Pelodiscus sinensis: one gene and its partners. The protein of the gene in region 2 interacts with the protein of the main gene of each other region in a biochemical or structural test. Links are inferred from orthologs where the notes say so. Each region holds a gene or a part of one and is shown on either strand. Other genes may lie near its edges. The genes, in order: UBE2F, RNF7 and UBE2S.

Region 1 (3,745 bases), on a different chromosome or scaffold from region 2:
TCAGCCTCGATTTGGAGGGAGTAATAGGAGACGTTCTAGTTAATTTTTTTTCCTTTAAAAAAAAAAATCAAAACTCTTTAAATAAACCAGAGGTTTAAATTTGTCTAAATCTGCAAGTGCTTTTTTTCCATCATTTTGTGTAAATTTACATAACTAGATCATTCAAGATGTCAAAACACTAGACAGCCTGAGATGCACTCATCCCTAATGAGAACTCATTACAGCCTCATTATGCAGTCTGCCAATCATTACTATGTGCTCGATTCTAACTTTTTTTCAGAGAAGGGAGGTAGGGTGTGTGCGTGTGGAGTGGGAGGGGTAGAGGGTGCATGAGCAGGCTGAGGGTGCGTTAGCTGTGATTCTGGCACTTGTGCGGGATGGGGGCATGGCTGGAGCAGTAGAGGAGCTCCCCACTGCAGAAGGGGGCAACTTGCAGCACACCTGCAAGACTGAGTGATCCCGAGACCATGCTTTGAGAAGCACTGCTCTATATAAATCTATGGTACACCCGTATCTCAACTACTGTGTACAAATGTGGTCACCTCATCTCAGAAAAGGTTCAGAAATGGGGGCACACAAAACATTGAGGGGTATGGAACAGCTGCCACAGAAGGAGAGATTAATAAGACTGTGTCCTTTAAGCTTAGAAAAGAGAGACTAAGGTGATAAAATCATGATTGGGGTGGAGAAAGTAAATAAAGTGATTTACTCCTTCCCATCCCATGGGTCATCACTGACCCAGTGCAAGGAACGTTGGGTTGTTAAGCCAACAAAAGGAAGCATTTCTTCACGCAAGGCCTGGTTAACCTGCAGAACGCCTTGCCGCAGGACGTGGTCAAGCCTTTACTAGGGCTCCACAAAAGAACAGAGGCGTTCCTGGGACAGGGCCCGCAGGGGTCACGCGCCGGGTCGCTGCTCTGACCCAGCCTGGCCGCGCTGGGGTGGAGCGAGCGTGGGAGACGCGCAGGAGGGGGCGGGGCCTCTGCCGCCGGCACCAGACAAGGGGCGGGGCCTCCGGCCGCTTCCGGCTCAGGCCCCGCCCCTGCGGAGGGATCTACCCTGCGCGCGGAGGCGGCGGCCGTGAAGGCGCCGGTCGGACGGTTCCGGCCCGCGCGGCAGCTCCCGGGAGCCACCGCCGCTCTCCGCGGGCCCGACCGGCGCTGCCGGTCCCACGCGCCCCGGAAGCGGAAACGGCCCCGGTTTGTGCTTCCGGGCAGCGCTGGGGGCGGTCCCGCCCCTCCCCCCGGAGCGGCGCCGCGCGGGCTGGAGACGCCTGGGCCTGCGCCTTCCCCCCTCCGCTGCCGGTGAGTGCGGCCCCCCCCGAGGGGGACTCGGACCCTGCCCCCCCGGGCCGGGCTGGCGGGGCCCCGAGTGGGCGCGCACGGGCCTGCCGGGGGGGGGGGGGCAGTTACCTCAGGAGCGAGCCGGGCTCCCCTCCCCCAGCGAGCGCCCGCGCCGCCTCCCCTCCGTCCGGAGAAACACGGAGCCCCCCCCCCCCCCCCGGCTCGCTCTGCCGGGCAGGGTTACCCCCCCCCCCCCCCGGGGACTGGCCGCCAGGGGTCTTGTGGCTGCTGGAAGCCCCGAGACTGATTCGGGGCCCCGCTTGAACCTGCAGCTGGCGGGTGGGGTCCGCCCACGAAAGCTGGTGCCCAAATAAATCTGTTCGTCTCCAAGGGCCGCGGGGCTCCTCCTTGTTTCTGCGGACCCAGGCTAACATGACCCCTCTGGTACTAAGCAACTGAGTCTTGTGGGATCCGGCTTAGAGGCTGCTATCCCCTGCATTTCTGGTCCCTGTAATATGCCACAAGTATGATGTGTGATGGTCTATAACTTGATAATTGAAGTCTTTGCTCTTTTTCTTCAACAGTTCCATTTTCTTGTTTAAAGTCTTCGTTACTGAGTCAGTGCGCTGACATTTTTGAGGTTATGAAGTTTCTATATACAGCCAAACTGGATGCGCCCTCCTTTCTCCCCAGATTATTTTTTTAATATCTGCTTTTATAGATGCACTATCTGGACCTAATTTTGTCTCTAGCTGTCTATTATGAATAGGGCTGTACGAAATTCATGATCCATGTTGGTCAAGTTCATAGGAATTTAAAAATTTGTAAATTTCGTTATTATTTAAATTTGAAATGTCATGGTGATGTAACTATGGGAGATCCTGACCCCCAAAAAAAGAGTTTTGGGGTGATTGCAAGATTATTATAGGGGTGATTGCAGGAATACTATCCTTTCTTCTGTGCTGCTGTTTGGTGATGGTGGTGTCTTCAGAGCTGGGTAGCTGGAGAACGGTGGCTGCTTTCTTGGAACGAAGCACTAAAGGCAGAGCCAGTACCAGCAGCGGTGCAGCAGTAAGGATGGCATGGTATGATCATAGAATCATAGAATAATAGGACTGGAAGGGACCTCGAGAGGTCATCGAGTCCAGCCCCCCGCCCTCAAGGCAGGACCAAGCTCCGTCTACACCATCCCTGACAGATGTCTATCTAACCTGTTCTTAAATATCTCCAGAGAGGGAGATTCCACCACTTCCCTTGGCAATTTATTCCAATATTTGACCACGCTGATAGTTAGGAATTTTTTCCTAATGTCCAATCTAAACCTCCCCTGCTGCACTTTAAGCCCATTACTCCTTGTCCTGTAACCAAGAGGAACAAATTTTCTCCTTCCTCGTTGTGACACTCTGTTAGATATTTGAAAATTGCTATCATGTCCCTCCTTAATCTTCTTTTTTCCAAACTAAACAAGCCCAGTTCATGAAGCCTGGCTTCATAGGTCATGTTCTCTAAACCTTTAATCATTCTTGTTGCTCTTCCCTGTACCCTTTTCAATTTCTCCACATCTTTCTTGAAATGTGGCGCCCAGAACTGGACACAGTACTCCAGCTGAGGCCTAACTAGTGCAGAGTAGAGCAGCAGAATGACTTCACGAATTTTGCTTACAACACACCTGTTGATACAACCTAGAATCATATTTGCTTTTTTTGCAACAGCATCACACTGTTGACTCATATTCTACTTGTGGTCCACTATGACCCCTAGATCCCTTTCCGCCATCCTCCTTCCGAGACAGTCGCTTCCCATCTTGTATGTATGGAACTGATTGTTCCTTCCTAAGTGGAGCACTTTGCATTTGTCTTTATTAAACCTCATCCTGTTTACCTCTGACCATTTCTCTAACTTGCTAAGGTCATTTTGAATTATGTCCCTATTCTCCAAAGAAGTTGCAACCCCACCCAGTTTGGTATCATCTGCAAACTTAATAAGAGTACTCTCTATCCCAATATCTACATCATTGATGAAGATATTGACCAGTACGGGTCCCAAAACAGACCCTTGCGGAACTCCACTTGTTATCCCTTTCCAGCAGGATTTAGCACCGTTAACAACAGCTCTCTGACTACGGTTATCTAGCCAATTATGCACCCACCTTATCGTGGCCCTATCTAAGTTATATTTGCCTAGTTTATCAATAAGAATATCATGCAAGATCGTATCAAATGCCTTACTAAAGTCTAGGTATATGACATCCACCGCTTCTCCCTTATCCAAAAGGCTCGTTATCCTATCAAAGAAAGCTATCAGATTAGTTTGGCATGACTTATTCTTCACAAACCCATGCTGGCTATTCCCTATCACTTTATTACCTTCCAAGTGTTTGCATATGATTTCCTTAATTACCTGCTCCATTATCTTCCCTGGGACAGACGTTAAACTGACCGGTCTGTAGTTTCCTGGGTTGT
Region 2 (3,745 bases):
AATATTACTGGGCAGGAGATATTCCACTAGCACGTGACAAGTAGGGATGTGATAGTGTACATGTGTAAACTGTTAACCAATGAACCTCAGCTCATCAGTTAACATTCACGGTTACGTGCAAGCCCCCGCTCCAGCCCCAAAAGAACAGCCATACTGGATCAAACTAAAGGTCTACCCCAGTATCCTGTCTGCTGACAGTGGCCAATACCAGATGCCCCAGAAGGATGAACACAACATTCCAGACAACTATAATATTCTATATTAGAGGCAGCAGTGGGTGAGAAGTGGGGGTGGAGGCAGGAGCCAGTACTCATGGAGAGATAACTTTTAGGCAGGCTCCCCAAGAGTACTAGCTCCTGGGGAGCTATCTGCCTCCCTCCTCACTGCTTCTATTGGGGAGCAGGGGAAGAGGGAGGCAGGATCCTATATACACAGGGAGCTGGCATAAAAGCTGGTTCCCCACACGTACCAGCTCCCACAGCACCACATCCCTCCCACCTCGCTGCTTTTATCACAGGCAGAAGCAGGGAGGGGAGTGCAGGCAGGAGCTGGTGCTCACAGGGAGCCAAATTTTAAGCCCATTCCCCACATGCACCAGCTCACACCAGCTCCCTGTATCAGAGGCAGCAATGCAGGGGAGGAGGGGCTACGTGTAACTATGCGCATTAACTGATGAGCTCAGGCTCATCTGTTAACATCCCTACTACTGAGAGGCTGTTTATTCTGTTTCCTCACTATATGATAGATGCTGGGCCATGTCAAGCAACCGCAATTTATTTCAGGAAATAAACAGTATGAATATTACAGGTTAAAACTGATTGCTTAGGTGAGGCATCTAATGATTTATTTCTGGTACAAACACACAGAGATCTACATCAGCCATTGGTACAAGCACAGGATCCTCTATGCAATTTCTACTAGGCATAGGACAAACTCGGAGGTAGGACATTAAGCACTATATAAATGGGAGTCCCTGTAAAAATTAAGGGCAGGTACACAACTGCTCAGTGACCCCATCTGTGGGGTTTGGTATTGTCCCAGCAAACATGTCAGCGCCGGGAAGAAGGAAACCAGTCTATTCAAGCTCTAACAGAAATCCTGGTCTTCCTGGGGAGGAATGCAGTGAGGGCCTCAGCTCTGCAGGGTTCTCCCCAAGGAGTCGATATGTTAAATCCTGGTTAATTAGTTAACCAGTTAAACTTTAGGTTCAACTGGTTAAGCCATTAAGTGGGCTGTCACCCCCTGTGTGTGAGGCTCCTGGCTGAGGGGAATGGGAGCAGAAACAAGTAGCCATATGGGGGGGACGGGCGAGGACTGACCTCAGCTTCTGCGCCCTGCCCCCACCCCACACTGGGTGGCTAGCTTCTACTCCAGGGCCCTGTAGGGCTAGAGCTGCCTTCTACCCAGGATAGGCTACGAATGGGGGGCTGCTCTTGGGTACCAGTGCATCACCCAGTAAAGGGGATGCTTACCAAATAACTGGTTAATTGTTCACATCTGTACCAGGGAGAGACGATCAGTGACATGATACAGCTTCTCTCCCTGCCACGATGTGAGACTCTGCCTGAGGTGGGGGGGAGGAGAGTAGTGAAAAGTGACAGCCCCTCCAGGATATGGAGCTCTGCCCTGGGGGAGGGGGAGAAGATGGGGAATGAGGAGATTCAGATAGCCCCAAGATGTGGGGCTTTCCCCATGTGAGGAAGGATCAGTGAGGCTATACAGGCCCCCACTACCTGGGGCTCTCCCTGTGGTAAGGGGCAGTGAGACTATACAGCCCCTCGCCCCTGGATGTGGGTTTCTTCCTATGGGGGGGGGGAAAGGTACAGCCCCCCTCCTACTCCAGAATATCAAGGGGACATACACGCCCTCCAGAGGGGACAGTGAGGAGATACAAGCCCCCCCCCCCTCCAAGTTGTGGGGCTCTGCTGGTGTGGCGCCAGCCAGTGAGGAAAAACAGGCCTGTCATACGTGAGGCTCTGCCTGCGCGGGGGTGGCAGCGAGGAGATACAGCCCTTCCCCCCAGGATACGGGGGTCTCCTCCCCTTTGGGAAGGGGCAGCGAGCAGGCCGGGCCCGGCCGACGCTTACCCATGACCTGCACCCGGCAGATGGCGCACGTGTCGCACTCCACGTCCCAGCTCCACATGGCCACCGCGTTCCACTTCTTCAGCGAGAACATCTTGTCGGCAGCGCCCGCCTTGGAGCCCGAGGAGCCCGCGTGGGAGTGGGGGGCGACCGGCTCGTCTCCGTCCTCCACGTCGGCCATGGCGGGGGGCGGAGACGCTGCGACGGCGGCGCCGCTCTGGCTTCTCCCAGCCGGCAGAGCGGGGCTGCAGCGCCGCCCAGCGCCCGGAGCGCGGCCAGCTGAGCTGGGGCACACGGGAGGCACGGGGACCTCGACCCCTCAGCCGCGCCGCTCCGGGAGCGGAGGCGGGGACCAGCTGCAGCAAGCCCTTAAATTAGCATCTGTCAACTACGGCCGTCTGCTAAGAACAACCACTAATCACAGTTAAAAAGTTAAAATCCACCCACTTCAGTGTTAGGCCAGGGACCCCACCACACAAGAACAAGGAACAGCTGACCAGTAATCAGGAACTTGGGAACAACAGGTCCGCAACAGAGAGAGCAGGAATAGAAGCTTCAGAAACAGATATCTTCCATCTCCTCTGGTATTATGTGGAACAGACACTCCCATGGGCTGCGTCTAGACTGGCACGTTTTTCTGCAAAAGCAGCTGCTTTTGCGGAAAAACTTGCCAGCTGTCTACACTGGCTGCTTGAATTTCCACAAGAACACTGACTTCCTACTGCCTGAAATCAGTGCTTCTTGCAGAAATATTATGCTGTTTCTGTTCGGGCAAAAGTCCTTTTGCGCAAAAGGGCCAGTGTAGACAGCTCAGATTTGTTTTGCGCAAAAAAGCCCCGATTACAAAAATGGCAATCGGGGCTTTTTTTGCAGAAAAGCACGTCTAGATTGGCATGGACGCTTTTCCACAAAAAGTGCTTTTGTGGAAAAGCGTCCGTGCCAATCTAGACACTCTTTTCCGCAAATGCTTTTAACGGAAAATCATGCCAGTCTAGACATAGCCATGATGATCAGCAACACACAGCACACTATATCAAGTCCTTATTCAATTTGGACAGATGTTGCTGCAAGGGTCAAATGACCCTTTTCTACCTTTTTAGATCATGGGGCAGATTTTAAACCAGGGGTAGGAAATAGTTTGGGTTGTATAGTTTCTTCATCAGAATTTTGCTTTTTCTGAAACAATGCTCCACAACTCCTAACAATTTGGAAGGAGTGTCAAATTCTTAAATATAGGTTCCAGTGCTGCAGCTGTCTTTAGAAATGCCATATTGGTACCTTTTTTGCGTTTTGTGAAATCTGCCAGTGAAAGCAGTCTTAAAATAGACACATGCTGGCTCATCATCTGAAACTGTTACAACATGAGATATATGGCAGAATGCAGGCAAAACAGAGCAGGAGACATATCTCAAGGAATTAAGACAAAAATTAATGCATTTTTCTAATGAGCATTATCAACATTGAATTATGTCCTCTGGGATGGTGGTTAAAGCATAAAGGGGCATACATATATTTAGCATATCTGGTACACATGCCTTTCAATGCCGCTACAAAAGTACCATGGGAACACCTGTTCCCACCTTCAGGTGACACTTCAAATAAGTGGACAGCATTATCTCCTATAAATGTAAACAGGCTTCATTCTCTAAGTGATTTCTTGA
Region 3 (3,745 bases), on a different chromosome or scaffold from region 2:
CCGCTGGCTTCTGGGGATCACTTTCCCAGCACCTGCGACTCCCTCTGGCGAGGGGCAACTGAGGCACGGACCAGCAGCGACTATACCCTGCAGTCCAACCCTGCAGCTGCCAGAAAACACCCCCCCGCTCCCCCGTAGTGAGATGGACAGAAGCCATTCCCCCCACCCAACCCGGCGGGCGACATCACTTGGAAAGGCAGGCCAGGCCTGGGGGGAGCTGCAGAAGGGAATTTGCAGACAGTGCGTCCCCGGCCGGAGGGAAGGAGGGGGCTGCCTGGAGGGATCGGCCGGCAGAGTTCGAAACAGGGGGTCCCTTTCAGGTGTCCAAGCCTGCAGCTGCCCGGTGTGAATGGCGCCAGGAACTCCGCAGGCCGGGCCTCAGGGTGTTCGCCCCTCCTAGGGTGCCGCACTGCTGGAGCTCTGTGCCAGCCTAGCAGGCACAGCCCGGCCTGCCAGGGAGAGAGCCCCCTCCCCCACCGGGGCCCAAGCCAGGGGAGGGCACCGGCGCCGTCGTCCGTCCCCCCCCCCCCCCCCCCCCCCTGCTTACCAGCAGCACGTGCTTAATACCCAGCTCGGCCTTCCAGTCTTTCTTGAGGACGTTGACGCAGATCTCGCCGTTGGCGCCCACATTGGGGTGGAAGATCTTGGTGAGGAAGTAGCCCTTGGGTGGCGCGGCCGGGAAATCCTTGCCCAGGATGAGTTTCATCCGGAAGACGCCTCCGGCGTAGGGTGTCCCCTCTGCCAAGGGAGCCGAGCGGGTGAGATGGGCTCGCCCCCACGTCCCAGGGCACAGCCCCACCCCCAGCTCGCTCCCAGAACAGCCCCCACATCCCAGGGGGCCCTGCTCCGGGCTGGAGGCGCCAGCCCCCTTTGGGGAAGGGCCCTGGGACAGGAAGTAGATACTCCTTGTGACACTGCAGAGTAATTACTTCCAGCTCCTGGGCACCAGTGACTGCCAAGACCAGGAGTCTGAGGGGGGCTGCCTTCCGCACTGCACAGGGCCAGCAGGACTGGGTGGGGATTGCCCCCGGGTCTGAGTGCCCCCCACAAGCACCCAGGGATCACAGCGCCCTCCTCAGGCAGAGATCCACTTCCCTGCCTCAGACAGGAGCAGGCAGGGTGCCTGGGGTAGGGATGCAACAGCATGGTATGCAAAAGCTTGGAGGCTAACGCGATAGGGCCAGTGTTCCTCAACCTTGTTTTTATAAAGTGCCCCTTTAAAAAAAAATTAGAAGTGCCCCCAGTACCTACAGTTTTCAGACAATTTTTTTCCACCATCGCAACACGTGTGTTTAAACGGGCAGGTGATAAACATTGAGTGTAAAAAGTACAAAAAGAATCAAGCGCTGTACAACTGAAAACAAACATTCAGTTTTCTCCAGGTGTCAGTGGTGCTGACGTACCCCCCAGACATCTCTTGAGTACCCCTAAGGGTACCTGTACCCCTGGTTGAGAAACACTGCTGTAGACTACACCCATTCTCTCCTCCCCCCCACTTGCCAGTACATATTTTAGCAGACTGGCCAGCAGCCCGGCTCAGTCCTGACTTTATGACGGGTCCAGGATCTACCCCTGCTGCAGGATCTGTATTTCAAGTGTATTAGGAGCCGGGCAGGCGGGCAGCCCAGCTCAAATCTGGCTTGCGACAGGTCTGGGAACTTAGACCACCCCTCTTCCCCCCTCCAAGACAGGGGCTGCTGCCACCCCATGCTGCTGCCTCTGCATCAGAGGCAGCAGCACGGGGTGACAGGCAACCGGTCCACATGGGGAGCTGGTTTTTAAACTGGCTCCCCTCATGGACCAGCCCCCCCCGCTGCTGCCTCTGATCCAGCAGCAGTGGCAGCGTGGCAGGGGGTTCCTCGGGAGTGGGGCTGGAGCACACTCGCTGCCAGCCCCACCCCAGGGGACTACAAAATAGCTGAGTGACCGAGAAGAATTCTTGAGGTTACTCGACTGTTCAGTGAACTGATATTTAACATCCCTAGACTGGGAGCACTGAGGAAAGCTCCACCCCCTTGTAGCCACTGACCACACCCCCCCACAGCCAGCTCCACCCCCATCTCACCAGGTCCTTCGATGGTGACCTGGACGTCTGTGATGTCCTCCTCGTTGGGGAAGACCTTGATGCCCTCCGGAGGGTCCGACGTCAGGGTGGAGACCTCCTTGTAGACCAGCCGGATGACGTGAGGCGGCAGGTTTTCCACGTTCGAGTTCTGTGGGGGAGACAGACGGGGGCGTGTCACAGGCCGGGGGGGTGAGCTGGCCGGCGCGTGGGCTCTCGGCTAACCGTGGGCCTGCTCGCTCCACCCACCCGCTGCACTCCCCCTCCACCAGAGCTGCTGACCTGGAAAGCGGCCGGGAGCAGGACAAGCACGTGCACTGGGACCCTGGAGCAGCGGAACCGTGCCAGGGACATTGATGTCAGCACTGACAGAGGCGCGCGCCCCATAACGAGCCCCCCAATCCGCCCCATGCAGGTCCCAGGGCCTCCTAGAGTTCCCTGCCCGGTCCAGGTCGATATGGAGACCCAAGAGCTCACTCCCCTAGAAGGGGTGAAGTGCAGCCCCCATGGAGCCTTGGCAATCCCCCCCCCCCCCCATGAGCTGTGGGGCCCTCCCGGGCACCCTTCACTCAGCCCCTGCCCCACTTGGTGCACCAGGGAAGCCCCACTGGCACCAAGACCAGGTCATGGGACCCAGGACAAGTTGCTCTGGCAAAGACGAAGGCCAGAGAAGAAAAGCAGAAAAGCTTCTATCACTCCCCCCCCCCCCCGCCCATCTTGGGATCTCCCCCCAAACCGCTGCCACCTGGGGACCCAGGTTGGCTTTACCAGGCAGATTCCAGGGGCCGGTCCGTGGGGCCAGCTGGAACCTGTGTCCCGTTTTCACCCCCAGAAGCGAGGGAGCAAAATCCCTGCTGCCCCCAGCGAAAACAGGCTCTCATAATGGGGGGGGCCTGCAATTCAGTCCCCCTCCCTCGAACTTTATCAAGCAGCAGCATCCTCCTGAGTCTGCAGGCCCAGTAAGATGTGGCGCACAAGAGCACAGACACCTCTCCTAGCCTGACCCCCTACGGCAGCTCGGGGGGCTTCAAAGAAATTGAACAGCTGGAGACCCATCCAAAGGTCCCCCCCTTCTTTAGTCATTAACAAGGACGAGGCCCCTGTTGTGCTAGGGCCCCGTGTAAGATTTCGGGAGAGGGAGAAGCCCCGTCTACTTGCATCCTCAAGCGAGCCCGTTTGAAGGCCAGGAGCTCTCAGGAGAGGCAGGTTTGGGTCTTAGGCCCTTCAAGGTCTCTGCCGGGGTTAGGGGAAGCCCCCGAGCCAGAGGAAGGGGTGGATTTGGCCCCCCGCACACGGCTATCCAAGATCAGAGGCATCTTTATGAAGAGACAGCAGGGTCAGCTGCCCGCGGGCCTCAGATCCAGCTGCCCTGGGGAAACTTTAGGGTCTGTTCAGCCAGCTGAGGTCCCTTTTTTGGTGCTTTGGAGGTGACAGATTGAGACCCACTAACTCACCACAGCCCTGGACTGGCATACAAGAGCCGGAGACACAAGACAGGCTCAAGGGGGACCCCCAAGTACCTCCCCCGTCCCCAATGTCTAACCAAATCAGTTTTATACCCTCCCTCCCCTTACAGCCAACCAGGGACATTACACTGGCCTCCAATTAAGCCCTCAGCAAGCCAGTGCCAGGAATGGACAGTCCCCGTTCGTGTGCCAGCCTAGAAGAGCTAAATACAGAGCT

What was found.
Region 1: the proteins of RNF7 (region 2) and UBE2F form a complex in vitro, tested with the Homo sapiens proteins (10 studies listed by BioGRID, with this or other methods). The link is inferred for Pelodiscus sinensis from reciprocal best matches to the Homo sapiens genes RNF7 and UBE2F.
Region 3: the proteins of RNF7 (region 2) and UBE2S form a complex in vitro, tested with the Homo sapiens proteins (3 studies listed by BioGRID). The link is inferred for Pelodiscus sinensis from reciprocal best matches to the Homo sapiens genes RNF7 and UBE2S.

Annotation. Positions count from the first base shown.
Region 1 is NC_134717.1:61,530,086-61,533,830, forward strand, and holds the start of UBE2F (NEDD8-conjugating enzyme UBE2F), read left to right. Parts: upstream 1-1,147; 5' UTR 1,148-1,304; intron 1,305-3,745. UniProt on the Homo sapiens protein: Accepts the ubiquitin-like protein NEDD8 from the UBA3-NAE1 E1 complex and catalyzes its covalent attachment to other proteins. Together with the E3 ubiquitin ligase RNF7/RBX2, specifically neddylates cullin-5 (CUL5).
Region 2 is NC_134720.1:20,848,744-20,852,488, reverse strand, and holds the start of RNF7 (RING-box protein 2), read right to left. Parts: upstream 2,326-3,745; 5' UTR 2,266-2,325; coding exon 2,088-2,265; intron 1-2,087. UniProt on the Homo sapiens protein: Catalytic component of multiple cullin-5-RING E3 ubiquitin-protein ligase complexes (ECS complexes), which mediate the ubiquitination and subsequent proteasomal degradation of target proteins.
Region 3 is NW_027465849.1:3,530,379-3,534,123, reverse strand, and holds the start of UBE2S (ubiquitin-conjugating enzyme E2 S), read right to left. Parts: upstream 2,548-3,745; 5' UTR 2,474-2,547; coding exon 2,345-2,473; intron 2,214-2,344; coding exon 2,066-2,213; intron 739-2,065; coding exon 548-738; intron 1-547. UniProt on the Homo sapiens protein: Accepts ubiquitin from the E1 complex and catalyzes its covalent attachment to other proteins. Catalyzes 'Lys-11'-linked polyubiquitination.